2 linked regions of the Struthio camelus genome follow. The protein of the gene in region 1 interacts with the protein of each later gene in a pairwise test. Links are inferred from orthologs where the notes say so. Each region holds a gene or a part of one and is shown on either strand. Other genes may lie near its edges. The genes, in order: DZIP1 and PPP2R5A.

Region 1 (14,974 bases):
GTGCAATGAATAATTGATGCCACTCTAAAGATGTCAGCGTGAGGCAGAACATGACAACTCTGTAGCATTATGGAGAGGACAAAATACGAAAGCCAAAAACTGAGCATGAGCAGAATGCGAGCACTGTTACAATAAATGAATTCCTATGGCTGTACCTCAGAAAAAGAGACGTATTACACCAAAGCCAGACAAAAGTGAATACAGTATAGCAATTCACACCTGCAACTCCCTCTCCCCCCAAATGACTGGAAACAATAGTAAGGATAGCAGTCTACTTAATGGAGACCTTTAATAACAAGATTAGGAGAGAACAATCTGGAATCTGAAGAAAACTCAAAGCAGTAGCTGATACTGGAGTACCAATCTGAACAGATTTCCAAGCATAAAAGTCCAAGCATCATATCCCTTAAAAAAAAGTAACAGTATTATGATAAAAGTGAGCCAATATTCTCAGTAGATGCTTAATAAGGAGTCAGTATTTATACTAATAAGGGAGGTCAGTATTTCAGTAGGCTGTAGTAGTATATAAAAACAGTGTGTAATGCCAACACTACAAAAGGACGTGCTCAAAGAGAAATCATTTTTCACTGTCCGTCTGTGTTAGAGAAGTCATCATACAGATGCCTGACCAGTAATTCCTGAAAGAGACCATGAACCATGACAGAACATTCTTGATGATCATAACGCCTAAAAGTGTAATTTAGAGATTAACTATAAGCCTGGGAGAAGAAAGTACGTTAACACATCTTCCCTTGTGCAATTTCAGAAGCAAACGAGATGCAGAAGACGAGAAAGACTTAAAAGAACAAATGATATGACGTGCCAACGTCATTTTTTAGAAGTAATCTGAGAAATAGCAAGCCGACACAGCTGTAATACAGTAAGTCTTTCAAAAGGATCAATAAAAATTTGGCAGACTGGGACCAGAAACAAGTTTCTTCAGCAGCCTTGAGTTTTGGAGTGGAAGCTGGGTTGATTGCAAAGACTACGCTAATGTTCAAAGTGGTCAAAGGAGGGAAAGCCAAGGAATTTTCTCCAACACGGTTACTGCTGGTAATACAGTAACAGCAGAGGGCATCAGTTAGCAAGGAATGACTTTTTAAGACACTCGTTGCTTCTAACAGGGATGGTGACCTGAATATGGTGACAGATGTGGATTTAGTTAAATCTGTAGGTTCTGTTTATTAACTGGGAAACCTACTCAAATGTAACTGTGGTGTGGTGAGAAATCCAGATTAGGTGTGAAAACACACAGGTACTGGGAAGGACCCCGCTAATTACCTGTGAGCTAGCATTCTTGGCAACACATCTTAGTTACTAATCTCTGTTCCAAAAAAAACCCCATCCATATCAATCAGTTTCCTGACACAGGAGAATAAGCAATATATCGGACTGTTATGTTACTTCCACAGTCCTGTATGAAAATACGGGAGGCGGTGAGACAGGACGATAACACAGAGTTACTATCCTCGGGGCTTCTTCTTGTGAGGGATCTCTCAGGCCTTACACCTTGTTTTTATCCATTCCCCTGTATGTGCATTGCTATCAGAAACGCAGCTGTGTTATTAAATTGGAGTGATGACCGAGCTAAATGGGATAGTAATGTACATCTCTGCTAGCAGGCATAGCATAGGGTTATTGTTTACATGGCCACATCTTTTGGAAGTTCCAAGATTTCCCATTTTGGGTGGCATTTGTAAGAGATGACTTTAGGGAAATTCCTTGTCCTGGGCTCTTTTTGCAATACATGGAAACAGAAAGGCTCCTACAGAATGCAGTTCAGCCCAAGAACTTAAGTACTGTAAATGTGCTCTTGGAGAAGCTTATGGACTTTAAAGAGTGTGAGGAATTAGTCTTCTTTAGGGTAAGGTTACCCTCTGTTAATGCTTTCCCCTTCATACTGTCCCAACAAAATTATACAAGTATATCTTAGTCCTAACTGTGATGGGAGAACCACTTTTCCAGTGTGGATTTAACCATCTGCGCTATGACCTTGAGTTTTGACACTACAAAAAGAGACTAACTGCTGTCTGTTGTTTATATCGCTATAAATAGGCTCTACCTAGGTCTTTTGCTCTCATTTCGGTTAAGCTTGCTATAATACAGGTCCTTCAGTCACTAAACTATATTACTATAGCTGATTATCAACAGGGCTATGTGTTGTGAGATATGTAGGACAGAAGTTGGAAGATGGGAATTAGACACCAATGTTTCATTTTCACAATTAAATTTATTTTAAATTTATTTTAATCAGTGAGATGTATACAATATCTGCAACTTTTCTTACCAGCCATGGCAGCAACAGCAAACTCCAGAAAATTCCAGAAACAACTCAAATTCAAACCTAATTCAAATTTGAAACAATTCAAGATGAAGTGAAACAGTATTTTTCAAGCATTTTGATTTAAAAGCCACGTCTGTTGATTTTGGGAGGGTGAAGGGGCTTGACAGAAAGCAAAATATTACATTTATTACAAAATCTCACCTCTTTTAAAATACGTATTTTCATTTTTGAAGATGTAGAGCATTTTAAAATGATACTCTGAAATCAGAAGTCAAAACTTTGCTTCAAACAGTAAAATATTTTGGTATTTCTGAAGTAAAGCATTCTATTTTGAAAATATATGAAATAGTTTAACATTCATGAACTCTTATTTTCGACTGAAACCCATTTATGAAATTCAGCCTATTTTCATAACTAGTTTTGAAACTGTTTGAAACTCTGCAACTGTTTTTTGGTTTGCCTAGTGTATTAAAAATAACTTTCCCAGCTGAAGTCCCAAAGCTGAAGTTTCAAATCTACATGATGACTCCAAGCTACTTAAGTGTTTCTCTTAATCGAACACGTCTCTTCAATTTTAAAAAAGGTGAAAAATATCAGTGACAAAGCACTACGTTATCAGTTAAGGCGTCCATTCCTACCTTATGTCCTGCCAAAACACCAAGGTCTGCAAAGTTCACGCTTCTGGGGATTTGGACTGCACGGTTAAAGTGTGTACGTGTGCAGCCTTACCTCTGCCTGCTCCAACGCACACCTCAGCGCTGCCAGCCTATGCCTGCTATCTTTGTATGCAGTGGCAGCTGCCTGCATCCCATGTAGAGTTATTCAACTCGTTCCCCGAGCGAATTTTTATATAAGCCATAGGCATGTGATGCCTTCTAACACTGTCCTGTATTTACCCATCTCTGAATTAACAGACTTCATTTATCCTCCGACTGCTAACAATCCAAAAGATGACAAAATTCGTGCGTTGCGCTGCTGACACAGCAACGATGGAAGGGTGAAAGGAGGCACCCGGGCTCTCTCAAAAGCACATACCCACAGGTCCAGCAGAGGAGATCGTCCACATACATTGCCCCTCCTAATAATCACACGTTTGCTCCAGCTAATCCTTTTTACCATTCAATATAGCAATCTATAGGTAAGTGTAACATAATGAATATAAATATAAATAAGAGCTTGAATGCTTACTGCAGAGTAGATAGTATGTCTAGTATTTCAGAGTTTTGCCGAGTCCAGGATTTTGAAAAGTTCTAACGGGCACTTTGGGCACGTCCTTAGATTTCTGAGTATCTAAATTGACAAAATTTGAAAAAAGAAAGGGGAAAGAGAGTAATATGTCCCCATGTATCCTTTTCAGCTGAGCGTCTAAGGCTGACAGGGGGTGGTTCTTTTTGCTTTTTCATACAGTTTGTTTCTCACCTATAAAAATGGTGAAGTGTCCCAGTCAGTGTAAAACTGTAACCTAGCTGGCTAGAAAAAGAGCAACAATCTAATGCATACCGTTAAAAATTCATCCAGAGGTTGCTAAGTGTTATAAACTAGGTCCCTGATTTATTTTTAGTGTTTATTGACCTGTTTATTGCTCCAATCATATCAACAATTTCTAAATACAAGTTAAGTTAAATACCATATAAGTCAGATGATGGGCAACAGTGGAAATCTGAGCTTGGCTGAGTAGAGGTCACTGAGTGAAACCTATGCACTGAAGCAGCGATATCCAACCTATCTTGAGGTGCAGACAGCCTGAAAGCAGTCCAAACGTGATTCTTGCTTTTGAGTTGTGTCCCAAGATCAGTGGCAGGGCTCGAGCATAGGCTGACTGATTAGCTATGGGAGGCAGTGAGCCAGACTGAAGTTGTACTTGATGCGCTTGATGTATCCCCAGAGGCTCCCAGCCAAATTCCCCTGCATATAAGAATGGCAGGGCCTGAGGGGAATCACAGTCTTTCTGCCGCCGGTCCCTGCCTGCAGCTTGCCCCCTCCTCGGCTCACGGAGGTAGGTATGGCCCTCAGACGCCCTTGGCCATAGGCATATTTTGACAGGACAAGAAAGGGGTTTGAAAGGTCAAAAAAGTACTCCTGGGCTAAAACTGTGGTGCACTTTCTGTTGTAAATACCTGTAATTCTCTTATTCTTCAGATACTGAAAAAGAAGTTAATGGGAAAGCAAAAAATCATCAGATATGAGACAGTGATTTCAGGCTACATCCACACAAACAAGAACAGAAAAAGCTTCATAATCCTGTTCTCAGCACGATTTTTGCGTTCACTGCAAATAAAAGAGGAAGCTATTACAGTAATACCTATGTGTAGATTAAATAAAACTCACAATCCATGTGTTTGCAGACATTTCTGAAGAGTTAAGTTTAATTCCCTCCATGTCTAGGAGAAAAGAAGATAAATGAATTGTATTGTTGATGCAGTGAAATCAGCTAGACTTGTTAGCTGAAGACAAACCCTTAGAAGAGACTGTTTTAGCTGAAGAAAAGAAGAAGATTTAGTTGGAGAAAGGTCTAAAGTACTCAAATTTGAAAATGAAATTTGTTAAACTTGTAGGGGTCACGGTCTCTTCAATCTATGATTAATCATAGCAGGTATTGTGTGTTGGAACTAAGAAGGAGGCGCAGGAATCTTTTTGCCGGAGGAGACTTGGGAGAGGTGCTCATCCTACCTTTCTTTGCAAACGCTTTATTATTCTCTGATAAAAATATGTATTTTAATAATTTTCTCCTGTAAAATAAGTGATGGAAAGATTGAAAGAATGAAATGACTGCAGGCATTAAAATGGAAAAATGTGCAGGAGAGGGAGCTGACAGGAAGGGAAAGACTAAATAAACTTAGAATCTGGCTAGATTCATTATTATACCTGTGGCATGTTAAGTCAACTTTTCACCAGAGTTAATGATTACTGGCGTGCGTCACTCTAAGATTAGTGCAAGAGAAAGATTACTGAAGGATCTATTTTTCAGTTCCCGAGAAAACTTTCTCACTGTCCTCTCAAATTAAAACATCTTGCAAAAAATGTGTTGCATACCCCTCCATTCTACAAAATGTGCAGATAATTCTTTCAGTTAATGCATTACAGATGCAAAAAATGCCTTCTGTCTGGCCCCTGGGGGTACCCCCAGCCCTGCCTGCCCACCCAGCCCCAGCCCCATCTCAGCCCAGCCCAGGACCGTCAGTCCCTGCCCCTGCCCAGCCATGGGCCCCCCGACACCCACCACAGCCTCGGCCCTGTCTCATCCCTGCGGCGGTGCCTGACGTTGCCCCGGGGCTGGGGCTGCTCCGGCTACCCCCGGTGCCCTGCTCCTTCGGGATGGGGGGACAGGCCCTAGCAGCCCCCACCAACACCTTCCCCTGGTACCCAAGACACTTCCCAAATGGACATTGCCCAGATATCATCATATTTTCCCCCCACAATCAGAATATTCTCCTTGCTTTGTGCTCTCCAGTTGCAGATACCCTCTGTAAGCCTCAGAAATACCCTGCTCCAATCGCAGAATCCTACGTTTACTGCTTGTACTTCAAGTCACTTATCCCATTTTGAGTCTGTAATTCTTAGCTTTCCTCACCAATTTCCCCAGCGAGAAACTTTCTACTTCCTGCAAACCTCATCTCTTCCCTTCTCCTTTTTACTGAACTGTTAAGAAAAAAACATACTCAGCATTGCACTGTGTCAACAGAGTATGGAAAATTCACCTAGGACAACAGATAATACAGAATGATTTCACAAAACCATAATGCAGATGAACTACCCCTAGAGAGCTCTGTTAACTACCCAGTCTATGTTGTTTGAAGAATTTGGATCACAAACTGGGAATGATTTTTACACAAACTATTCCCTGTAGTAGGCTGGCATGTGGGAAATAACACCCTGGTGAGCAACAGAGAGACATACTGGCTAGAATAGGAAAAACATGTAGAATAGCCAGGGTTTTCACACTTCATGAAAGAAGCTGGGAATAAAGCAATTAAAGGGGAAGAAGAAAAAGCTTAGGTTTAGGACTGTACAAAGTCTTAAAGCGCCTCAGCCTAAAGTTGAACTTCCCCAAATCCCCATTCAGCTATCATCTATTACTATAAAAGAAGGTTAGAAGCTACCTAGAGAAGCTAACATTTCACTATTTCCTAAACACCTGACATTCTGTGGCTGAAAATGCCCAAGTCTTCAAGAAATGAGCTGCTTCAAGTCTTTTTCAGTGCTTCATGGTGTGCACAGAGGCTACATCAACCGTCCGGTTGGGTATCAACTGAAACCTGTATTTCCAACCTTCTTAGCAGATGCAGATGTATTCCTGATCCCTGTCAGAGGCAGGGAGAGAAGAGGAGGAAGGAGGGGAAGTGGAGAGAGACAGCACAGCAGTGACTGCACCATGTAATGTGGGAATTTAGAACAGTTTGCCCCAGAAAAATTTTAGCAGGAATAAAGGGTTATGTGCATCATGCAGTGTATGTGCAATGAAAGGAAGAAACCTCAATCTTACCACGTAAGTACTGCACAGATGGCCAAAACATGCAGACTGAACGCACAGTAGGTCTGACACGTTCTGGACGTGCTGGATTTATGGTGATTGTACCCCACTATCTGCTTCTGCCTGAACAATAATCATCTGTCTGCTCTGACCTGATTGCAGGCTGCCCTAAACTTCCAGGTAATGTCCAAATGCACTGCCTCAAATCATGTGGATGGGGAAAGGCAGAAGGATGCTAAAACGCTCTTGGTCCTCTCCTAGTATATTCACGCCTGTTTTAGGAGAACACCTTCAACACCAAGCTATATGATATAAGGTGAGGAAGGAGGAACCAGGCACAAGCCTGGGGGTAAAGAACACTTATCTTGCCAGCTGAGGCTGTACCACTTGCAGCAAATAATTAAAGATTGATTGGACTTTGGCAAGAAGTAAAAGAATGAATGAGGCTTCATCTAGTAGGGTGACGCCTTATCCCCACAGAAGACAAGACTTGGTTCTAGCTGTTCTTTCAAGGGCTGCTTGTGTATTTTATATTAAACCGGTATTAGAGTAAGTGACTAAGATCCAAGTTTTCCTGTGCACTTCATACACACCTCCCGTCATCAAATGGCAAGAATCTTGAAAGTTTGTTCACGCAGCCAGCATTTATTGTTATATATAAAACAGCTTTGGCAAGAGAGCCTTGATATCCCCATCTTTCCTCTGCCAATGCCTGCTTTAGCAGTGAGTGTAACCCAAAGGGACCGATCTGTAGCAACAGTGAACTGCATTCCTGACTTCCACATTTTACAGGTATTCAGGTTTTACTTCAAGCTAGCTCTACGCTGATCCTATGGATTGAATGTCCATTAGTGGCTGGAGCTCACTGAGGTAGCCTCAGGACATTAAAAACTAAGGCATTCAAATCGCTACTTATTGTTAAAATCCTGTGTATGCAGCATGCGTGCTCACATCAACGCTATCTCGTAACAGAATTTCATGTTTCAGGAAGGAAGGACAGTGTCTTGGCTAGCCTCTGGGCATGCATACTAAGAACCAAAATTTTTCCAGAGCTTGCTGCCTATGTATTTTGTAAGAGAAAGTGTTGTCTCCCTGAACAAAAGGATCTTCTGAATGAAGATTAAATGTAGCCCAAAAAACATATGCAACAGTTATTTCCTCCACTGAATTTGCAACGGTACTTTATATTAAAATATAAAATACTTGAACTTGTCCTCCTTGCTACAAAGGCTGAAAAAGAATTAAATCTTGTTAATAGCCTTTATTTTGACAGGCACAATTTAAAATCTTACAGGGAAGAGGAAGAAAATTAGAAGGTTCTGAGGTAACCTGAAAGTAAATGTAGCTGTTACATAGATTCTACCTGTACGCTACAAAGTGTATTTGAATCCAGTTTCTCCATCAGAGCACGGTTCAGATATCACCAGGATACCACTGCCTGTGCTGTAAGAGGATGCTCTCACGGGAAGTCGGTGTCCTCTTACTTTGGGACACTTCAGGAAGACACTTAGGAAAGAACCCCCTCATCCATAAAAATTGAAATTACATTCCTTATAATCATCTTAAGTCTTCTGAGGTCTTCTCTCTAGACCCATGGACAGGAGTAATCCTGTCTCCGTGCATTACTTACATGGAACAGGTTACTGTGATTCCCCGTTGTGACGGGGGTGTCTTCTCCAACCGTGGCAAAGACTACCGTCCTCACAGAAGACTACACTGCATGACAAGCTTAAATGTATTAATGCTAGTGAAGAGATGATTAAAAAATGCCATTAATTACAAAAGACAACCTTCCAAAAGCTTCGGTAAAGTTGTTACGTATTTAAAAAAAAAAAAAAGCAGCTCCTAGCCAGAGAAATTTAGACGCCATGCCTGGGCTAGGATCAAGACAAAGAAAACCCAGGCTATGAGAAAACATCTGCCGAGCACTGTGGAGAGCTGAGGCGCCGGGCCCGCCTCCCGCGCTCCCCAGCGGCAGCGCGGGGCCGGGAGGGAGGGCGGCCGGGGGCTCGACCGGCGCCGCCGCTGCGCCTCGCCCTGCCGCCTCCCCCTAGAGGCGCGGGCCGGTATTATCGGCGGCGGCCGCCCCGCCTCGGCAAGCTGCTCCTGCCCCGACTCATCCTCGGCAGCCCGCGGGAAGCGGGCGGCGCGGGGGGGATGGGGAAGCGGGCGGCGGGGAGGAGGGGATGGAGGAGGCAGCGCGGAGCAGGGGGAGCTGTCTCCCCTCTGTGACACGCACCAGTAACCGGCCGGGTCGGGGGCGGGGAGCAGCCGCAGCCTTCGACACCCCTCAAGCGCCCGGCGACGGCGGCGCGGCGCAGCGCGGCGGGTCTGCGCCGCTGCCCTGCCCCCCCCCCACCCCCGCTCGCCCCCAACGGTCGCCGAGCAGCAGCGCGAGGTGAGTGGCGGGGCGGTGCGCGCGGGCCGGGCTCCTGTTGCGCCGGCCGCGGTTCTGCCCCCTCCCCCCCCCCCCCCACCAACCGCCGTCAACGGGGCCGCACGTGCCGGCCGCGCTGGAGCGCGCGAAGGGACTGTTGCTCTCTCCCCCCCCCCCCCCACCCCGCCGCGCGGGGATGCCGTTGGGGCGCGCGCCCCGCCGCGGGGGGAGGGGAGGGCTCGGCGGGGCCTCTCCTCAGGAGAAGGCGGGAGGGAGGGAAGGAGGCCGCTCTCTGAAGCGGAGGCGGAGGTTGTTTTTTGGCTGGGAGATGGAGGCCGAGGCAGGGCCTCCCGCAGGCCCGGCGCTGCCTGCGTCTGCCTGGGCTCGGCCGCCTCCCGCACCCCCCCCCCCGCTCGCCCTCCCTCCCGCCTGGCGGGATCTTCTCGCCCTGGCCCTGGCGAGACAGGCGAGCTAAAACGCCGCTTTTCCCCTGTTCCTCAGGGCGGCCGTGTTTGGGAGCGGGTAGGCGAGTATGCCTGCTGGCTGTGGGCCTCCGCTGCGCAAAAACACCGAATTAGGGCGCTCCTGCACCTCAGAAAGAGCGCGCTGAAGTCAGGTTTCAAAAACCGCTGTTGTGGGTGAGAGCCGAACTTCTGCATCAACATAGCTGGCTATGTTCCAAGTATGGAGCACATCTCAGCAGGCGTTACACCTCTAAACTAAAAAATTGATTCTTTGGGACTGGCGTTTTTGATCACTTTGTCTTCAGGGAATTCGGCTTAAAAAAAAAAGTGTTTTTTTCCCTATCGTTTTGATCCACCCCAGTATCCTTCCACTGCTGCCTCCCCTCTCTGCCTGAGTGATGTAAGGAAGCACCGTGGACAGATGCCGTAACAGCTTTTCTGTTTTCCTCCTCTGTCTTTAGTGATGCACCATTTCAACCTTACAATCAGTTGAAACAGATTTAATTAAAACAGTATGAAACTCTGCAAGGATATTCCCAACTAAATATGTCAGTTGAGGAAATTAAGCATGTTTATAAGTCCGGTTTAACTTTGCTGGTTTTAAGCAGCATTTTTTTAAAAACTTGTGCCTTTGTGAATTAAAATATTTCAGGCATTCTTTTTCAGTCGCCTTTTGCCTGATAAAGTGAAGAAAAATCCGTAATGTACAAAATTCACATTTTTCTGTGTATAGAAATTTCTGCTATGTATGTTAAAGGGCATGTGAAAGGCTCAGAGATCTTTGGGAGATTGATTTCATTGTGTATTACTTAATAGTTCCTTGACGAGGAAAAACATCCTAATTCACATTTTCCATGATGTTTGAAGGAATTCTAGGCATGAACATTTTGGACAGTTGCTATTTTTATTAAGCATTTGAGCATTTTTTTAAAATCTAACCAGTTTATAAATGCAAGTGTATATACACTGTGGATGAAATAGAGTCTACAGTATGCTTCCTTTCAGGAGAAGACTGCAGCGTTACAATGCAGTATTACAAATGCAGCACAGTGTGTCTGAGTTCAGATGAAAGATGAAAAGTGAGTGTATTTGCATATGCACAGGATGTCTGTGCACATAAATTCTATTTGTGCTGGATAATGGTGAGTTGAAAATCAGATCACAGAATTTCCTCATTTCTAGTTGTTTTGCGTCTTTCCTGGGATTGATACTGCATTTTGTTAAAATTTTGTTTATATAGCCGATCTGCAGGTATTTTTCTGAATTAAAAGAAGTCATGGCAAGTGATGGAAGATACTGGGGTATCTTCCTGGGGTATTACGTGAACTTTAGGTATTGCAGTAAAGTGTGGCTAGTAGACTTAAGGCTAAAGGTTCAAAAACATGCGTTATAGTGCCAAGTATTCTGGAAGATTGCCTTCTAGGGTGGCTCAAGTCAACCAACAGGAGGGCTCAGTATCCTTTGCTAATGTCACCAAACTAACTGTTCAAACTTCTAGTATCCTGAAGTTCATTTGGTAGATTAATGAAACTCCCTGCTGTGCCTAGGTACATTCTTCGAAAGACTGATCTTAAACTTTTGTACAGAAGTGGGGAAAATAGAAGGGTGTAACTCTTTATGTATGTGGACAAAGCAAGAGATACATTCTCCTGATTTTCCCTGGCTACGGAAAGAAAGGAATTTCCTTCAGCTTTCCCCGTGTGCATGGCTAGAAGTGAGTCTGCAGAATGAGAAGGGCTGGTAATATTTAGGTCCTTAAGTTGCTGAAGTGAGTCTAACCATTCCTGAGACGGATTTGGGTCTTTCTGATGTGAGATGTGGTAAGAGTTTTGATAGATATCTGAGGCTTAAAGGAAAAGACTCTGAGTCTCCATGACAGTCTATGCTGTGAAGCAGAGGTGTGCTGTACAGTGCCTGCAGCCGTGGTTGTAGGGTGCGTGTACTGGTCGCGCTGACTGCAAGGAAGACACCCCTGCTGCAGGCGTCCAGCCCAAGGCCCCAGTCCTCCCCCTCAGGGACCCATCTTCTTGAAGTCTGCTGTGTGCCTGGGTTTCCTTTATGAGGAAGGAGAAAGTGATGTTTTCTCGTTCACTGGCGTGGTGTCAGAACACAGCTAAAGTGCGTATGGAGACCAGAGCTTTATGGTGAGTACCACAGTGGGTACTGGTGGGTACCTTTGCCCCAAGGGTTGCCCCGACCATAGGGTGAATGTGGATACTGAACCTGTCTCTGCCGAGGTGAGGGGGATTAAATGAGCCCAAGTTTTTAGGGAGCTATGATATATTTTATTACATCAGCCCTTACAAATAAGAAAAACAAGCTTCTGGGCACAGCAAATAATCATAGTGAACTTGCAGAGCTACATAAAGCTAAGAGCTTTTCATTTGTGAGGGAAGCTCTCCTTACACTAGTGCGTATAACAACATTGGTGTTGTTTGCGTGGAAGAAGGTATGTATTGTGTGCTCACTGTGGTATATTACGGTTTGTATTGGAAGGACAACGTAAAATATGCAGAGGCGAGGTGAGGTTCATTGGGAGTTGTATGTGGAGTGTTTCTAGGAGATGACTGAAGGTGAGGAATCTTATACTGAGGGGGACCTGAGGGATGTGGAGAAACTGGAGTGGGCAGGAGGAGGGCTAACAAGATGGTTAGGGGTCTACAGCACGTGACCTTCAAAGAGAGGTTGAGGGAGCTCAGCTTGTTCAGTTTGGTGAAGAGGAGGCAAAGGGGCACTCTTTAATAGTAGCCTACAACTACCTGAGGATAGTTAGAAGCGTGTCAGAGCCAAATTTCTCTTGGTAGTAACAGAGAGTATAACAAGGGACAATGGCCACAAATTGCTACTAGATGGGATATTAGGAAAAATGTTTTCATCAGGAGGATGGTGCAGCCATCCAGCAGGTTGCCCAGAGAGGTCACGCACCATCCATTCTTAGGGGTTTTCAAGACTCAGCTGTACAAAAGCCACAGGTGACATGATCTAGTGTCAATGACAGTCCTGCTTCGAGCAGAAAATTGGACTAGATGGTCACTAGAGGCCCCTTACAACCAGCATTTCTATGAATATGTGATATAGTATATAGAGGAACCTGTGGAATGAGGTGTGTTATGAAGTATGTGTTGTGTGAATTCTCCTGGAGAAGTGTGCATATAGGAATGACTGGAGGGATGAAAAACTGAATTGTGTAGGGAAGGGGCTGAGAGGTGTAGGTGTAAACATGGAACATGGGTGATATGGCAGAGGTAGCATAGGGACCTGAAATACTAAGAAGTGGTATCAGGAAAAGAAGGTTTTGGAGAAGAGTATTAAGGATGAGTGAGGGAATAGGATAATGTTGTATGGTGGAGGGGAAGGATATTCGTGCCTCGGGACAATATTTGAAGCAACTGAAGGGGTACAAGGGAATGGGAATACCAAGCTGGAAAGTCCTGGAAATTGTGGTGAGTCAGGGAGATAGGCACCAATTGTTGGATGCCTTTGAAGGAAATGGAGCAGTGAAACTGGTGTCTATAGCATGAGGTGCTTTATGGGGATGAAGTGTTTGGGGATGTTGGAAATGAAGTAGGAATGACAGACAGGCAGATGTGATGAGAGAGCAGGGTTATGCAGTTATCGGAGACAGGCTAGTGCCTGGTAATACCTGGTAGAGGTGTGTTGGTGTGAGGAGAGCATGGGGAAGCATCATACCGAAGGTATATGAATGTGTTAGGATAAGAAGGTATGGGAAAGAAATGACGGAAGTACCAAATAGTGGTACTGATTGTGGGGAGGTGACAGAGGTATGTGGTAACTGATCTGGGATATGAATAGCTGAGGCTGGAGAAGGATATAAGATAGCATGTGGGTAGCAGAGTGTAATGTGGCAGAGTGAGACAGGTTTATGAGTCACAGGTGACAAGGAGGAGTGACAGAATAGCAGGTGGGGAGATGTATTGATGCAGTTAACTTAATTAGATCTATATAGTATCATGTATAGACTTTATTGATGAAATGAGATAAAGGGAATGTGGAGAAGTAAAGTATATGGTGTGTAGCCAGGGTAAGAGTCCGTACACAGCAGAGTATAGCTGAAGATGTATTTTTTGACGAGTAATGTGTGGAGACGCTAACAGATGTATTGGCACAGGTGTACGGAGTTAAGGCAGTAGGAGTACTGGAATGCGAGACAGGTTAGTTGGTACGATGATGCCTAGGGAATATGGAGAAACTGGGGGAAGGAGATACCAGGATAAGGAAATACGAAGGATTTGTATCCAAGGTGGGTGGGCGTATGCAGCACTGAGTACACATGCACGCAGGGAGGTCTGGAACCGGGGGCAAAGGGGCGACATCTCCGAAGCGCACAACAATGGCGAGCTCTTTGCACACTCCAGAATATTGCAGCTGCAGCAGTTGGGGGTGCAGTGGGGCCAGCAAGCATTGCCGAGCTGATCCTTTGGGGCCACGTTTTTTAGAGAGGAGAAACAAAGGTTGCATTGGCACGGTGGGGAGGAACATGTCTAATTCTGCCAAGGAAGGGGCTGTACTGAAGCCCTGAGGGTAGGGTGCATTTGAAGGGAGATGTTTAGGGAAGGGTGCGGCAGCAGGTGTGCTGGGTGAGAGGCCTGGCGAGTGGACTGAGGTGTTTGGGTGCAAAGCGGGGAGGCAGTGGGGATGTCTAAGCAGTAGGAGGTGGACAGATGCCTGGCAGGAAGGATGAAGTAGGGAGGAGCAGTGAGGAGGATGTGCAAAGCCCCTGAGCGGGGCATGCGTGAGTGCACGCAGGGTGAGCGGTGCCTGAGCTGAGCAGCTGCGGCGGTGCTGAGCCAGAGGGGCAGGGGAGGTGTGCGATGAGGACGAGTGTGGTGGGGGGAGCAGAGAGGGCCAGAGGGGGCCCCCTAAGGGAGGCTGGGGTGCCCGGGGGACAGCCAGGGCAGGAAGCAGGTGGGCGCTGCCAGGGTCCTCACTGCTGCTGTTCCTGCAGGGGTGACCGGGCCGCAGCTGCCATAGTAACACGGAGGACGCCGGCGCTCAGCGGTGCCTGAAGGAGCCCCAGCAAGCCGCAAGCAGACATGGTAAGCACCAGGGTGGCGAGCGGTGGGCGGCTGGCGGGCCCGGTGCAGCCGGCCCCCAGCTGAGCAGTGGTGTCTCTCCCGCAGCCCTTCACGGAGCGTGCCTACTACCCGGCAGCGGCAGCAGCGGGGGGAGCAGGGCCGGCGCCGTTTCCTGCCTTCCAGTTCCGCGGGCGCCATGAGAGTCCGGACTGGCGGCGGCTGAGCGCTGTGGACGTGGGCCGGGTGTCGCGCGAGGGCGATGTGGCTGCCCTGCAGGAGCACCTGGGCCACGTCACCTTCTGCAGCGCCGAGCAGGAGCGCTGCCCCCACTGCCAGGGCCCT
Region 2 (15,133 bases), on another chromosome or scaffold:
AATAACCAGAATAGAACATGCAATATAAAATCAAGAACAAATTTCTCAGAGAACATAATACAGCGGCAGGACACTGGAAGCAATCAGACAGGCAATGGCTATGGAAATGGAGGCTAATCTAGTGAAATGTCAAGCTGGGGTCAATAGTGTGAAAGAGTTGTTACCCTCAAAAAGATAGTAGGTGTTCTGGTCTAAAAAATAGATATTTCAGAATATAAATATATATATATTTAAGACTATATATACACACATACATAGTCTTAGTCTGGTTCTATCCCCATATACATTTAGTGTTTTTAATTGTGGCACAGAGATCAGGATTGTGGGTTGCCTTTAAAACCAGCCCTTCTAGAACAGCATCGAGGCTTACTTACCAATCAGTTTGTACTTCTGCTGCCTACCTGCTCTGTAAGAAAATAGATAGTTTTAGTTTCCCGCCAATCATTTAAACGAACCTTTTAGCGAATATTTAATCTTTTAAAAAGAAAATTTAATTTCAGAAAACTGCATTCCTGCATATTTACAGTTTCTATTACGAAACGTAGCCTTCAGGCACGTTTATGTCAACGTAACTTTGATGACTTTGGTGGTACTACGATCCCCAAAAAGTAGGGTAGAGGAGAATCAGGCCACCAGTTTTTGGAGAAGGGAAAAAGGGAACAAGATTCTGAGATATCCTTGCATGGGAGCACACGTATACCAAACAGTTTAGGATATTTTTCCTTTAAGGTCTGTTTTAACTAGTTAATCACCAAGAAAGAACCTAGGAAGGAATTACTGCAGGTGCTTGGCTATACTATAATCATTCTGCTAAGGTCTACTAAGAGAGAAAGAGCCTCTGAAATTTTTCCTTCCTTACAAGCTGGCAGCTTTCTAAGAGATAGAATGGAGTAGCATGTGTAGTCACTGCAGTCTGTTCTGATCCGTTGCTGGCTAATTAAGGCTTTAGCTAATTTAATTTTGAAAGATGATTTGAGTTAGAATCTGAAAATTCATGTTTAGCAATACAAACGAGAACTGAAAACACATGTTACTTAACTGAGAACGAAACAGCACTTGTTCAAATAGTCTTAATGCAGGCTGTAGGTGTCACTGACGGCAGTTAAATGTCAGTGCAGCAGCAATTTTGACTCAAAGCAGACTACAATCTTTTTAGAGTGTGAAATAACCTACTGGTAAACTCAGATGTTTGAAAAGGGACACAAAAAATGAGAAGGTTGAAGTAATAAGTGCTGGGATTGAGTGGAAAACCTTCAAAAAGCTTTCTCCTTTGTGAGGAACAAAAATCTCTGCCCTAGAAAATGTGCAAGAATTCAGTTTTGTTCTGGTTGAAGAAATGCAAATGCAAGTTTCTATTAGTTTTATTAGTAATGTGGAACATTTTTGCAAATGCCTTGAACTTAACGTCTGCGCTAAGAAATCAACGTAACGACAAGTTCTGCCACTGCCTCTTGGGCTCTTCCTGAAGGACGGAGAAGGAATGGTGGGACTGTGTGCAGGGAACTTGAACAATAAGGCTTCTTTGTGACGTAGCGTGGTCCAGGCCAGGAGAATATTAAAGATGTACTCTTCATTTACTTCATAAAGGCATTAAATCATCCAAGTGTTGTCCAATTCCCCAGTAAATAACAGATTTTGAAGAAATGCAATTGCATACCGTGGTGGTTTTGACAGTAAGGCTTGCTTGAGAAAAACCCATATCTGTCCGCTTACTTCCACCTCTCCAAGGGAGAAGAGGGTTGTAACTTCTGAATCTGGTGCTGTACTGAAGACAGGGTACCTTGTAACTGCATGGCAAAACCTACAAACTTTAGAGCATATACTGAATGATGTTCGGTATACAAATTACATCTTTTTCATGCTTTTCCATGGCTAGGTAAAGAGTAGTATGTGTGCAGCAAAATTTCAGGTTGGAGCCCATTATACTTCATGGAATTTTGATCAACTTATTTTATTCTGCTAAAAAAACGGTACGCATTATACCAATATGATTGGCTTATCTTTTAAGAATACCCAAACATGTTTAATATTCTTCACATCGGGCCACCTGTTTGCTTTCACGAAACTCTTTCTTGAAAGTGAAAATATAGCAATATTTTTCCTGCAATGTTTTACTTTCTGATTCTTAAATTGTAAAGCAATACTGCTATTTAGATTGCAAGGACAGCAGGAAGAATATTTACTCTGTTTAAATCTTCCTGTTCCGAAAACATGCTTTGTTTATTTAATTATAATATGTGGAAACATACTAGATACTAGGCTTTGTAAAACAGAATAAAAATTAAAGGAGCAAACTGGAGCTATGAACTGAAATTACCACAGCAGTGTCAAACTATAAAAGGCCAACATTTAGGGATAAAAACATACTATGTTGATAACTGGTAGTTCTGGACGGAATTCATCACTTCCAGAAATGGAAACGTTGTATACCATCTAATTACTCTCTCACTACATTAAGTTTTATTTTTCTCAAAAATCTTCATCTTTTTAGTCGATGTTGATCTAAGATGTTAGGAACGATTGCAGTCTACAGCAACAAGGGAAAAAATCAGTTGTTAAACACGTCTGACTCTTGGAGATAATTCAAATGGAAAAAAATCCAGGTCATTGGCCTTTTCAAATAGACCCCCGGCAATATTTACTCCTCCATAAATAGCACAGTCACATGAAATAAAACTGTGTTCAGTAAAGCCTGCAAAACAAAAGAACAATTTACAGACTGAAACGCAAACTGCAGCTCATGTGTTCAGTGGGTAGGATTAAGCGAGCTCGCTGCACGGTCTGTGCTTAGCGGCTGCGGTGGCAGATCCGCTGGGAGGAGAGTGCGCCAGGTCACCTAAGGTGCTGCCTCTGTCAGCTGCGGGGTCGAAACGCTGCGACTTTGCCCTAGACGGCGACCTGCGAGAGACAGCTTCGGCTATAATGCCAGATTGCCCTGTGGCAGAAACAAGCATGGCTTCCTTCACCGCCCTGACTAAGGGCACATCTACATAAGCAGGATTCACTGGCATTACTGTGTTGCTATAATTCAATGACTTATAGCTCTATTGCTATAGTAAAAGCAGTAAATTTCCCCCAGGTAGGCAAGTCCTAACATGAATGCATGTACTTCTGAAATCTTAATAAGACTGAGTAACTTCATTTCATCTGCTGGCCAAAATAATTTTTTATGGCTGCTACAGATAAAAGAACAAATGACTAAATTATTATAAACATTACCAAGATCCCTCACAGGCTTGCTTGAATGTCTTTTTTGTGTTTACCTACACTTCTGACTTCATCTCAAGTTCCACAGCATTTTTTTTCAAAGACCCAGATCTGGGAATCACGTTATTACATGAGAATCATAGCTCTCTCTTTTAAGTCTCTTTTGCAGCTCTCACATTTGAGAAAAGCCTGAAAACATGAAACAAAGGCACACCAAAGCTTCTTAACCTACACGACAAATCAAAAGAATCCACAAGTATGTATGACTTGGTTTCATTCATTAGCTGGGGAGGGGAAGGAATGATAATAATTATTCGGCATTTAGGACTCCTCCTGACTGGTAGCACTCATTCTGCTTTTGCAAAAAAGTTTCTAAAAAATGTCCGAGAAGCTGTAGTGGGGAACTGAGCATGGATACAAAGCAGAGGTTTGCAAACAATGGTTGTCAGGCCACTTGCTCATGGACCGCAAAGAACTGGCTGCACACAAGACTTGGCTCTTTGTTTCCAGTTGCTAAATCACAGTAGAGACAGATGAAAATATAAAAATAATTTTCTGCTATTATTTTCCAAGTAGGCAATTACTATTTCTGGCATGGGAACAGAATTACAATTTGAGATGCAAAACTAATTCCTTATAGGAAGTGTTCTACACTGTCGAAGCGTTCTGAAACGCTGGTACAGCAAACTCTTTCCGCCTTAGATTTACGGAGATTTAGCCATTCTCTTCATTTCTCTTTGTTACAGGCTATATATCTGCTTTATGTCTCTTGGCCATGTTTTGTACTTTTCTGGCTGCCACATTCATAAAGTTTCCAAGAGCAGCTGATTCTTAGCATGCAGTAATTCTTGTCAGCCTGCTGAGAACTTGACAGAATAAACCTTGCTGCTTGTTTGTTTAATTCCTTTCACTGAGCATTAAGAATTATTTCTGAAAAAACTCTAGCTTCCAGGTGTTCCCTTTTTAAATGCAAACATTTCATAACAGAAATAGTTCCTTTTTATTTTCTAAATGTGTTGAACAATCTTTGTAAGAGATTGTAAAGCTGAGGACAGTGCTAGTTGGCATTTTTGAAGGTCTGGTTTGCCACAGAGAAGCATTTAGAAAGTGGGATTTTGTGTGGTTTTTTTTTTTTTTTCATTTCAGCAAATAGAGGTGCCATTTGTTACCTTTAAAAATAGCAGTGAATCTACTCTTCCTGCTGCAAATCTTTCCCATTTTATATAGAAAATGCAAATAAATCTTCAGCACAAGGAACAGACTAATAAATATCTATCTATCTATCTATATATGTTCATGTTCTATAGATTTTTGCTAAGGGAATATCATTCTGACAAAGATGCTAACCAACTTTGAAAGCTTGGTTGTAAATGTACGCCCTAAAGGGACGCTTTGCATCTTACCGATCCAGATAGACTCCTGTTGAGGTCTCAGACATCACTGTTTCCACCAAAAAAGACAGTTCAATACACAAATAGAAGAAGTTAAATTAGGATACATTTTCACTGGATTATCAGTTATGATAATCAGTGGATGTGTGTATGTGCGCATACGTGTACAAACTTCTTAAATTTTTTATTTGCAACACAACCATGTTGGATTAGCTAACAGAAGATTGAATTAAAAAGTTTTAAAAATAAGAAGAAGAATCACATCTAGTTTTCACAATCCACTGCCTGCGCATACACAAGCGCATAGCTTTGCCTGGAAAGGCTGCAAGAATGTATTCATAGGTATGCTGAAGGAAGTCTAACTCAGAGCCCTCACAAGAGAAGGTCCTGCCAACTAATCTCTGACTTCCAATCCCACGATTTTAAATCCTGCTCTAGGAGGAAGATAACAGATGGTCTCTGAGATAAGTGATTCTACATTATTTAAGGATTTATCAAGCAAAAGATTTAGGAACACTTCTGCTAGATAGTGACTATCCAGTGCAGACATGCAGACATTTACACACTTTAACCTGAAATATGTGAATAACTAACTTGGTTTTAGTGGCAGGCACAGTTCAAGTGCTTAAACTTAATCCCAGGCATGCTTGAAAGAGTAGAGCCTTAGCACAGAAAGTATTTTAAGTTAGCTGAAAAAAATACCTAGAAAAACCGATGGAATGGTGCAGTAGTAAATACAAGCAGTGTTGTGACGCACAGGGATTTTCCTTTAAATTCTTCATTTTGAGAAGGATATCAAAAGGTTTTCATAACCTCTTTCCCCACAAACCTTCCTGGCTGAGGGTTCACCCACTTATGGCATCCTCTTTACTATTATATTCCTCCTACTGTCTCGGAGAACTAGATTTCTTGCAGCTTGACCTGACAGAAGAATGGGAAAGCAGAACTAGTTAACTCCTTATCTCCTGGCCACCAGACAATTCCCTGTCCTCTGTAGCAACCTGATCCATGAAGCCCCACGCTTCCAAGCCAAGTTTGTTAGAACTCTAAAAGTTAATGACACATCAAGTTCCCATTCATATTTTTGAAGGTCTCACTCCTGCAGGGAAGATGCTGAGAAGATGCTAAGAATATACAGGAAATAAGTCTCTATGATTTAACGAAAAGTATTGCAAACGTGACGTTTAGTGAAATCTCTTCTAGAATTTTGCTCCTCCATTTAGAATGATAATGATCATTACTTCCTAAACCTTTGACTTTTCTTCCAAGTAAAGTTAGACACATGCACAAAGTTTTGCAGGATCCATGCTTCAGTGTATATTGAAGGCTCTGATTTAAGAGTTGGAATAGCTTGCCATAAAATTACCGTTCACAACATTCTCTGTGGATATCTCAGACTTTTATGAATTAGATTTGGAGCCAGCAGCTTATAGCCTGGCATCGTGACCACGTGCCTTTAAATACACTCTAAAAACCATGAGGTTCAGAAGCTGACTCACAAGCAGCTCACAGCTGTGTAGGAAGCCGTGTGTGCAGCAAGCAGGGAAGGGCAATCTCTGGCTTTCTCAAATGTAGCTGCTTCAAATTGCCAGTCGGAGCTCTGTTTCCTTTTTTCTCCTAACATCCCAATCCCATAGACCTGTATGCTCAACTGACTTTATTCATTCATGTAATTCCACTGACCTCGTTCACTAATTCAAATATTACAAATTCAGTTTGTGAAATTAGAGCCGGTCCACGGAGCTGCTGCTGATTCTTTTTCAAAACAGAAGAGTTATAATAAAAAGACAAAGGAAAATTCGATAGCTAAAAATAGATTTGAGAGAATAAAATTGTTTCTTTTTGTTGGCTGACTCAGATTTCACTGATATTTCTTGTGTGAGTGATATAAAAAGATAAGGTCTGAAAATATTTTCAGGCGCAATCAATATGAAAATTCCATCTTTGCAAGATTACAGCTATTATTTACTTAGGTTTCTGCATCAGGAATTTCAACTGCCAATGGATTTTTACAACATTGTCTTATCAGCATGGCAGCCATTCCAAAGCCTAGTAACCTTGAAGAAAGTATTTTAAAGCTCAGAAAATGCTCTTATGTTACTTAGCATTTATATAATGCTTTTCCCTGACAGCTTTCAAAATATTGAATGGATGGAACTTTAAGATAGATTCCTTTACACTGAGAAGAGGCAGCAAGAGTTGAGTTGCCACTAAAGACTGTATCGGACACACTAGACAGTGTCACTTTCTAAAAATGGGTGTAGCAGAAAATGACAGCTGTTGGAGGGCAGGCAGGAATACACTGACACAGGGACTGGGCCTTAGTGGGCTCTGAACAGGAACTATGGTCTTTGAAGTGAGAGGTGAATTAACCAGGTAAGGAGTGCAAGAATTTCCTTTATTACAACAAATACACGAGCTTGCAGTTTAAAGTGCCTAAAGGTACCCATTTTGTTTGTAAAATGGATTTTGTAAAATATATTTATAAAAATACAAATGAAATAAAAAGTCTACCTACCTACAAGAAAGATAACAGCACACTGCAACTTATGCTTAGGGAAAAATAACTTATAGATATATTGGATAGTCTGGAATACTTAGAAAAAAAATTCTTAGACTACTCTCCACATTTTCTGAATACTAAAGATTAATTAAAAGCAAAAAAGATGAAGGTACACAAGTAATCATGCATTAAAAAGTAAGTAGAGATGGTGTTGCCATAAGAAAGAAAAAAGGAAAGACTGATAAAATGAAATAGTTCCTATAGAACAGGCTTATACAGTCTTAGTTTTCTATGTTCACACAAAGCCATAACCTACACTTGATTTTTGATTTACTGATCATACATCTGAAGTTTAAACTCCCACCTCATGAAAGTATTTAGGAAACATATACAGTTACTTCACAGTATTTACAACCTACCAAAGACATTCAGATCTGAGCACATATTTAAAATACCACAAATATTTATTTGCTGAATTGGTACCTAAAACTCTGCATTAAGAAGAAATGTGTTGATATGCACGAAACTAGTCTGTCATCTCTACCTGAACGACAAGCTAAGGCATCCCATATGTTTATGGTTCAAAAGTAGGGCTGTTTGGATATGGAAATGGGACCGGGTAAAAGTCATATTTTCATGTAGTCATATACTGCATCCTCAAGCATCATGCTTTTCATTTGGTGTAACAGTTACAAATCTTGTTTTCCATGGCTGAAATTCAACTGGAATTATATAAATTGTACGGAATTTTTACTTTTTGCGACATATTTGTAATTGAGACACTAGACCCAAATTCCATCCCCCAAAATGCTGCTATTCCATTTTTTTGTGCAGAAAGATAGAATTTCTCCTATTCCCGCCCCCCATTCTTCCATTTCATTCATACCCATGGTGTAAAAGCAACATCTCTTGCCACCCATGGGCCTACAAGATTTGGTATTCTTATTCTAAGCCACCAACAAAAAAAAGAATAAACATTCACACTTTGAAAGTTAAGCACGTGCTTGCTTCAGACAACCGTGTGTGCTGCAGCAGCCTCCAAAACGGCATTGTGACTCAGTAAACGCCATGGTAACCCAGATTCATAAAAGTCAAACACATGGGAGAGAAAAATGCGTGGTGTCAGGACAAGCAAAAAAAAAAAAAAAATAGAAGCACTCGGAAGATAGCTAAGGACAACGTCCCCCACACAAAACTCATTTAGTTGTAGCGTCACTCCAAGCACACAGCGGCCGTGGTTAAGCACGCTTTTAGCAGTTTTCTCAGTGGGGAGCGTCTCCAGTTACCACACGTGGCTGCTAACGGCCCGCTGAAAGGCTCGAGCATAACTGCCGTTTTCCCAGCAGCACCAGTAATTTCTGGCCAGCCCCAGCCCTGCCGGCCGGCCGGCCCGTGCCACCCGGGGGGCGCCGAGGCCGGGAGCCCTCGACCCCCGCCACCGCCGGGCTCAGAGGCCGGGAGGCGGCGAGGAGCCCGGCGCAACGCCATGGCGCCGGGCCGCGCCGGAGAGGCGCCCAGGAGGGCTCCGGCCCGGGGAACCTGGTCACGGCGGCGCCTCCTGACCCCGCGACGGCGAAGCCGAGCGGCAGCACTGAGGCGGCCCCAACCCGGGGAAAGGGTTTCGCCGCCCGCACGCGGGGCGCCGCGGTAACGGCTACTGCGGCGGGCGGGGCGGGGCGGGGCGGGGCGGGAGCCTCGCGCGCCCAACCGCCTCCCTCCCCGGCGCGAACGCCGGCCTTGGGACCGCCCCCTGGCGCGGATTGGCCGGGAACCGCCCCACCCCCCCACCTCCACCTCTCCCCTGCGTCAAAGATTAAAAACCCGCCCACCCCCCTTTCGGCCTCATCCGGTTGGAGAAGCCTCTTGTCAATCACTCCTTCCCCGGGAACTCGTCCCAGCTCTCGCGTTCTTCCCACCCCCGGCCCGCGAGGGGGGGTAGTGTGTGTGTGTGTGTGGGGGGGGGGTTCCATGGTGCCCTTTTCGCATTGGCTGCTCGGCGCTGCCAGTCATCGAACGCCGGCGCAACGGCCGCTCCTCCGTGCCTTTCTTGCCCCCTGGCGGGTAACCGCTGCCCCGCCCCTCTCCCCTCCCCCCCCCCACCGCCTTCCTCCCCGCCTCAACTCCACTCGCGCCGCCAAGTTGCGCGACCGCTGGCTCGGCGGCTCCGGGGCTCGGGCGGCGCGGCCGCGGCGGGCGGAGACACTCCTGGCGGAGCGGGAGGGGACAGGATGACGGCGGAGGCGCGGGGAGCTGCCGGCGGCGGTTGAAGGCGGAGAGAGGGCGTGTGGAAGCGAGCGATTTGGGGAGGAGGAGGAGGAGGAGGGGGGGGTGGAAACTGCCTCCCCGGTGGGCTCGGCCCAGCGGCGAGCGCGGCCGATGACAGCGGGCTCGGCGCGGGCTGGCGCAGGCGAGCCCGGCTGAGGGGGGCCCGGAGCGAGTGAGGCGGGAGGCGGGCAGCAGCGGCGCCGCCGAGCCCGGCCCGCCGCGGCTCTTGTTGCGCCTGCCCTGAGGAGAGCGGGAGCCCGGCACGCCACCCCCCCGCCCCGCTCACGGGAAAGTTTGGCGTGTGCCCGCCCCGCCGGGCAAAGTTGTTGCTGGGTTTGTTTGTTTGCTTTTTTTGTTTTTCCCTTCCCTCTTCTCCCCTCCCCGCCCGCCGCCTCCCCCGGAGCCGGCTCCGCGCGGAGAGGAAATTGGGAGGGAAGCAGGAACTGGGGAGCGAGGCAGCGGCCCGCATCCAGGAGGCTCCTCAGCGCCCGGCAGCGAGGGGCCAGCGCCGGGACGGCCGCTGCCCGAGGCGGCGCGGAAGCCTGCTTGCCGCTGGGACACCAGCCCTCTGCACCGCCTTTCGCCTTGGTGTGTGTGCGCGGGCCGGCTTGAGGGCAGGGAGCCTTTTTTTTTTTTTTCTCCCCCCTCTTTTTTTTTTTTCTTTCTTTTAAGCCCCTTTTTTGCCCGCCCGCTTTCTCCCTCCGCTTTAATATATGCTTGTGGAGAGCGACGTCCCGCCGCGCCGCCTCACCGCCCAGCCATGTCGGCGGCCATCTCTGCCGCGGAGAAAGTGGATGGCTTCACACGGAAATCGGTGCGCAAGGCTCAGAGGCAGAAGCGCTCGCAGGGCTCCTCGCAGTTCCGCAGCCAGAGCAGCCAGGTGGAGCTCTCGCCCCTGCCCCAGCTCAAAGGTACCGCTGCCCCTCTCCCCCCTCCGGCTAACAGGTGCCCCGGGGCCCCTCGCCTGCCCCACCGCCGCCTGCCGCGGCTCGTCCTCCGGCCCCGGCTGCGCCCTGCCGCCGGCCCTTGCGGCCGTCGTGCTCGGCGCGGACGGGCTTTCTGCCTCGGGCCGCGCTTCTCCGCGGGTAACGGAGCGTGCGGGTCGCTTCTCACCGCCGCGGGGCTTAACTGCGCTACCTGGCAGCCCCCTTCCTGGCTCTTTTAGGAGTAAGCGTTGGGAGGGCAGGTAGGCTTCCTGACGGCTTGTGCGCAACTGTAAACTCTCCCTTAAGCTGATAAATTTGAGTGTAGGAGTAGAGAGAATTGAGGATTAAAACCGTGGAGCAAGTGGTGGCTCCTCCCACGGGGGGGGTTTTGCAAAGAGGAACTCGGTGCCTGTGGCATAATATCTTGAGTTATCAGAGAGGGTTTGCCTTTGACTTGTTTGTGCTTTCCCATCACCTCTAGACAGTTCTTGAATGACTCTTTACTTGTCTTATTCTAACTATCAGGAATTGCCCCAAAGCCTCTCTCCTGCTTAGTGTGGTACAGGATCAGTCACACGCAGTGAATTAAGGTTTTTAGATGCTGGCCTCACTAAAACTCAAAGAAAATAGTGGACGCTTATCCTGTGTCCTGAAGCTAAAATCTGAATAGTCTATGTTTGTTAGAAGAGTACAAAAATGAAGTTAGTTGTAGCCTGTCACACCTTTAAACATCAAATTCAAGTTGTATATATTTCTTGTTGTTTTAAAAATTACAGAAATAGTTATTAGGTAGAGAATATAAGTTTGTTATTAAAATAAAGTGTTTGACAAGGACCTGAGAAAGACGGTGGAGGTGTTACCTTAACGTTACCCAAAATACTAAATTTCTTGATGCTACTGTTGATCTTAGGATTTTTGAAGCTGTATCATGTGATGATGGACAGCAATCTCAATTTGCATCAAAAATACAGAATTTAAATGCAATTTAGCCAGCTTAAAAATAGTTTTAGGTATCAAATAACTTTTTTTTTTGCTGCTTGTTTTCTTCTTACGGCTTTTATAGTCATGTTTATAATATTTCAAGGCTTTTTTACTCGAGTGGTAGATGTACACAGTAGACAGTGTAAATCATGAAACTGTTAGCAGAAATGTTATTAGAAGCAAATAAGCTAGGGCAGGAAGGTAACAAGGGAGTTGTGGGTTTTTTGTTTTGTTTTTGTTTTTTTCCTCTCCCATATCTGTTGCAGTAACTGTGGGTGTTCTTACTGCTTGGTTAGGATTTTCTTTTCTCTGTCAAGTTCTATCCTATCTTGGTAAGCTAGTGTAATTTGAGAAAACTAGAATAATTATTTTAATTCTTAACCAGAGTAATTTGTTTGAGATCAGAATTCAGTTTCTGCTCTTGGTATGGCTACGTTTCTGCATATCTTTAATAATGACTCTCATGCATACACTGTTTAGACAGTGTATATTGCTCTCAAATATGATTTTTATAACACTGCTTGCTACTAAGACCCTGTAGAAGCACTTGGTAAATATCATGAATAGGTGGCAGAATTCAGGGAGTTTTGGTCCTGATTCTGCAAGCAGTTAAGCATGCATACTTTATGCAAGAAATGACCCAGCTTAAATCAGTAAAATGTCCAACTTTACATTCTTTGCTGAGTTGGAACTTAATGTTAAAAATGTTTCACTCTGTACAGTTAAGTCTTAGAGTTTTGTGAGTGTATTTTTAAAGCTGTGTTCTTGTAGTATAGGAAATTCTGCATGGCATCAGCAGCTCAGACGTTTGGAAATTTGAGGCCATGAACAATCAGAGGAATGTTTTCAGTTATTCATAGTTTTATAGTAGTCTGAATTGCCTTAAATTCTTAATGGAAAATAACATCTGGCTTTGTGCTTATGGTTTAAATTTAAGACTCATACTCCAAATCTGCCTCAGAATATAAATTTTGAGCAAAATATAGAATTGTTTTTATGAGTTAGCAAAATGAAAAACCCACTGGTGACTGTCCCAATCAGCCAGTTATCAGAAAGTCAGGCAGCACACTTCTGCATATTTTCTCTCTTGGATTTGTGATGTTTGGATATACTGGGAATTTGAATTGTCCTGAACATGGCTACATATGATCTTTTGATGCTATAAGATGATTGTAGTGTATGATGTTTTTCTCCCGTTCTTCATGACACTTCCTCTCCTTTTTTTCCTCTTAAACATCCCCGCTCACCCCCCCCCCCCAAAACAAGAGCGCTTCTAGAAATAAAGTATTTGTTCTGTTCACATGTGTCTTGGGAAAATGAAGCTTTACTTTATTACTGAACTCTACATTTACTTCAAAGAATAGCTGTGATGCTGCTAGTATAGTGTCATCTATAGAGTAACAGCCAGCATTCGCAGGGAGCGGCTGAAAAAGGAAAGTATAGTCATTATATGAATGCCTAAGGATATTCAGCATGCATTTCTGACTTTAGATTAACACTCTCTGCTTTTTCGGATAAATGGTGAAATGCAGATGTTTGAAGCCTTTATTGGGAGAAGTTTTGTAGGTGAAAAACATTATACTGCTGTAAAATATTTCATTTTTTCTATAGTTACTGTCTTGTTTCGTTGTTTCAGAGAAAATAAAGTATTCTAAAACTGCCAGGCAGGTTTGTCAGATTGGCCCAAAATACTTGCACATTGTTGTACTGGAAGGAGAGATCTTATGAAAGAAGAACTAATCATTTACTTCTAACAAATACCTTACTGGGTGGATCGTTTATTTTTTCTTTTATCTAGAGAATGTTGTTTATTTGTCACTAAAATGGCCAAATCAGATTGTGTAACATACTTGCCCAAGTTTTAAGTAGTGTTGTTTGAAAGCCTGTAGATAGATAATATTGTTAAAAGTATGTTATTTTTGGTGTATTGCTGTTGCATATTACCGAAATTCCCCAATTTAGCTGCATGATATGCCACCACTAGGAGAAAACACTTATCTGTGACTAGTAATCACTGTCCCAAATAGTATTGTAACTTCAGAGATTTGGAGGGGCAGAATTGTGTGACTCACTAAGATTCAACTTATTTTTGTGTGTGGTGTAGTATTGTGTGTCAGTTCTGGATAAAAGCTCAGCAAAGCCTAGCTGATGTCAGGCTAGGTAAATTAGTAATGTGTTCTTCAGTTAAGTTAACAGGTTTCCTATGTGTTTGTTATTCAGGACAGTGTCCATTTTACTGTATTATTTAAAAGCTAAATAAGAAATACTGAGGACCCAGTGACTATTACAAAAAAAAAAAAAAAACCCCAAAACTTACTAAAGCTGTAGCAGGTTGTGTGGTTTGGAGTTTTGGGGGTTTGATTTTTTTTTTTTTTTTTTTTTAACTTTATAGCTTACAAATCCTTTGAATACATACAGCCAAAAAAATGTACTAGTTAACAGCAGGATTTTGTTATTTAGTGGACAATCCTGACACTGTTGGATTTAAAGAAATCTGGCAAAGGAAGTATTATTTCAACATCTTAAGAATTGGTAACTGTGTCTTAATAATTTAGTAAATCATTTTAAATGACTGTGGTAACATACACAGTTAGCTTCATTTTTTGAAAGCAGCTTGGTCTGGAAATCAGATATGAACTCATTATGATAAAAGTATACATACATGTTTCCCTGGTTTTGTGTGTGTTTTTTTTAATAAAGGAGTTGAAAAAGTGTGTAAGAAATATAGGTGGAAAATGGTGAATAGAAGTGAAGAAAGAAAAATCCTTGATTCAACCATGCAGCTTATTGGTTTTTATTTAGTACAATTAATATGGTCTGTTTGTTTGTGAAGCAAATATACCTTTTTCCTCTGTACCAAACATGTCAAGCATCACTGGAAGGAATAAAGCATTTCCTGACATTTCTTTGTGATCTTCTCAGGACTGAAAATCCTTTTGGGATGAGATGGGTCACCCCAGACTTATGTCCATACACAGAGAGCAAAACTAATGAAAGAAATTCTTGCTGTTCACTTCCGAATTGAACTGTCTTCCTATGGAGAACACTCAGGCCCTTACAGCTGAAGAACTGGAAATTGGTCCGAAAATCCCATAGGCTAGGAAGAGTTATAAGAATCTCCATGGGATGGAGGATTATGGTGGGAATGGTGAAGGATACTGGAATAAGATGCTTATAAGGCAACTTCCTAGTAGGCAGTTTGGACATCCAAATAAGGGGGCCACAGTGAATGTTAACAATGCTGTTATCTCTCCTCAGCCATTGAGAGAGAGAGAGAGAGCTTGGACTTAACTGGAAACTAGGTGCAGTGTTCAGGCTAGGCTTTTGTGGAAGCATTACAGGAAGGCCCAATAAACTTGACTAAAGGTTTAAATTTAAACATTACTTAAATTCATCAGAGATAGTTCAAGCCTTAAACTTCTGATGTTTTGAGTCATACACTGTATATTTCAGAGTAATAAAAATAAATGGAGTTTAAAAGAGCTTAGGGGATTTTATTCTCATACTAACATTAACTTGCCTTTGCTCACAAAAGGAAAACATCCTTCAAAAATTTTAGAATGGTTTACTTTTACTAAAGCCTTCATAAATATTTGTAAGTGAAGTGACAGATCTATGTCTCTGAAGTTTCCATTGATTTCTTGTAGTTCCTTATCCTCTACCTTTTGTATTCAATATCACTTGCAGCTATAATCTTCCTAGGTAATATTTTTCTTTAAAAGACAATTTTTTTTTCTCAGATGAAGAATGAGTGCATTCTGTAAATAATTGTGGTTTAATTGTTATGTATAATCTCAACAGAGTACACAGTTAATATAGTCAAAATCTCTGTCTAGTGAGGTTACAGTTTTGAAAAATAG

Evidence for each region.
Region 2: the proteins of DZIP1 (region 1) and PPP2R5A interact in binary tests that used the Homo sapiens proteins (3 or more experiments, as listed by UniProt). The link is inferred for Struthio camelus from reciprocal best matches to the Homo sapiens genes DZIP1 and PPP2R5A.

The regions. Positions count from the first base shown.
Region 1 is NC_090942.1:166,184,702-166,199,675, forward strand, and holds the start of DZIP1 (cilium assembly protein DZIP1), read left to right. Parts: upstream 1-8,903; 5' UTR 8,904-9,153; intron 9,154-9,600; exon of another isoform or gene 9,601-10,675; intron 10,676-14,562; 5' UTR 14,563-14,650; coding exon 14,651-14,653; intron 14,654-14,737; coding exon 14,738-14,974. UniProt on the Homo sapiens protein: Molecular adapter that recruits protein complexes required for cilium assembly and function to the cilium basal body.
Region 2 is NC_090944.1:114,064,749-114,079,881, forward strand, and holds the start of PPP2R5A (serine/threonine-protein phosphatase 2A 56 kDa regulatory subunit alpha isoform), read left to right. Parts: upstream 1-9,219; 5' UTR 9,220-10,126; coding exon 10,127-10,277; intron 10,278-15,133. UniProt on the Homo sapiens protein: The B regulatory subunit might modulate substrate selectivity and catalytic activity, and might also direct the localization of the catalytic enzyme to a particular subcellular compartment.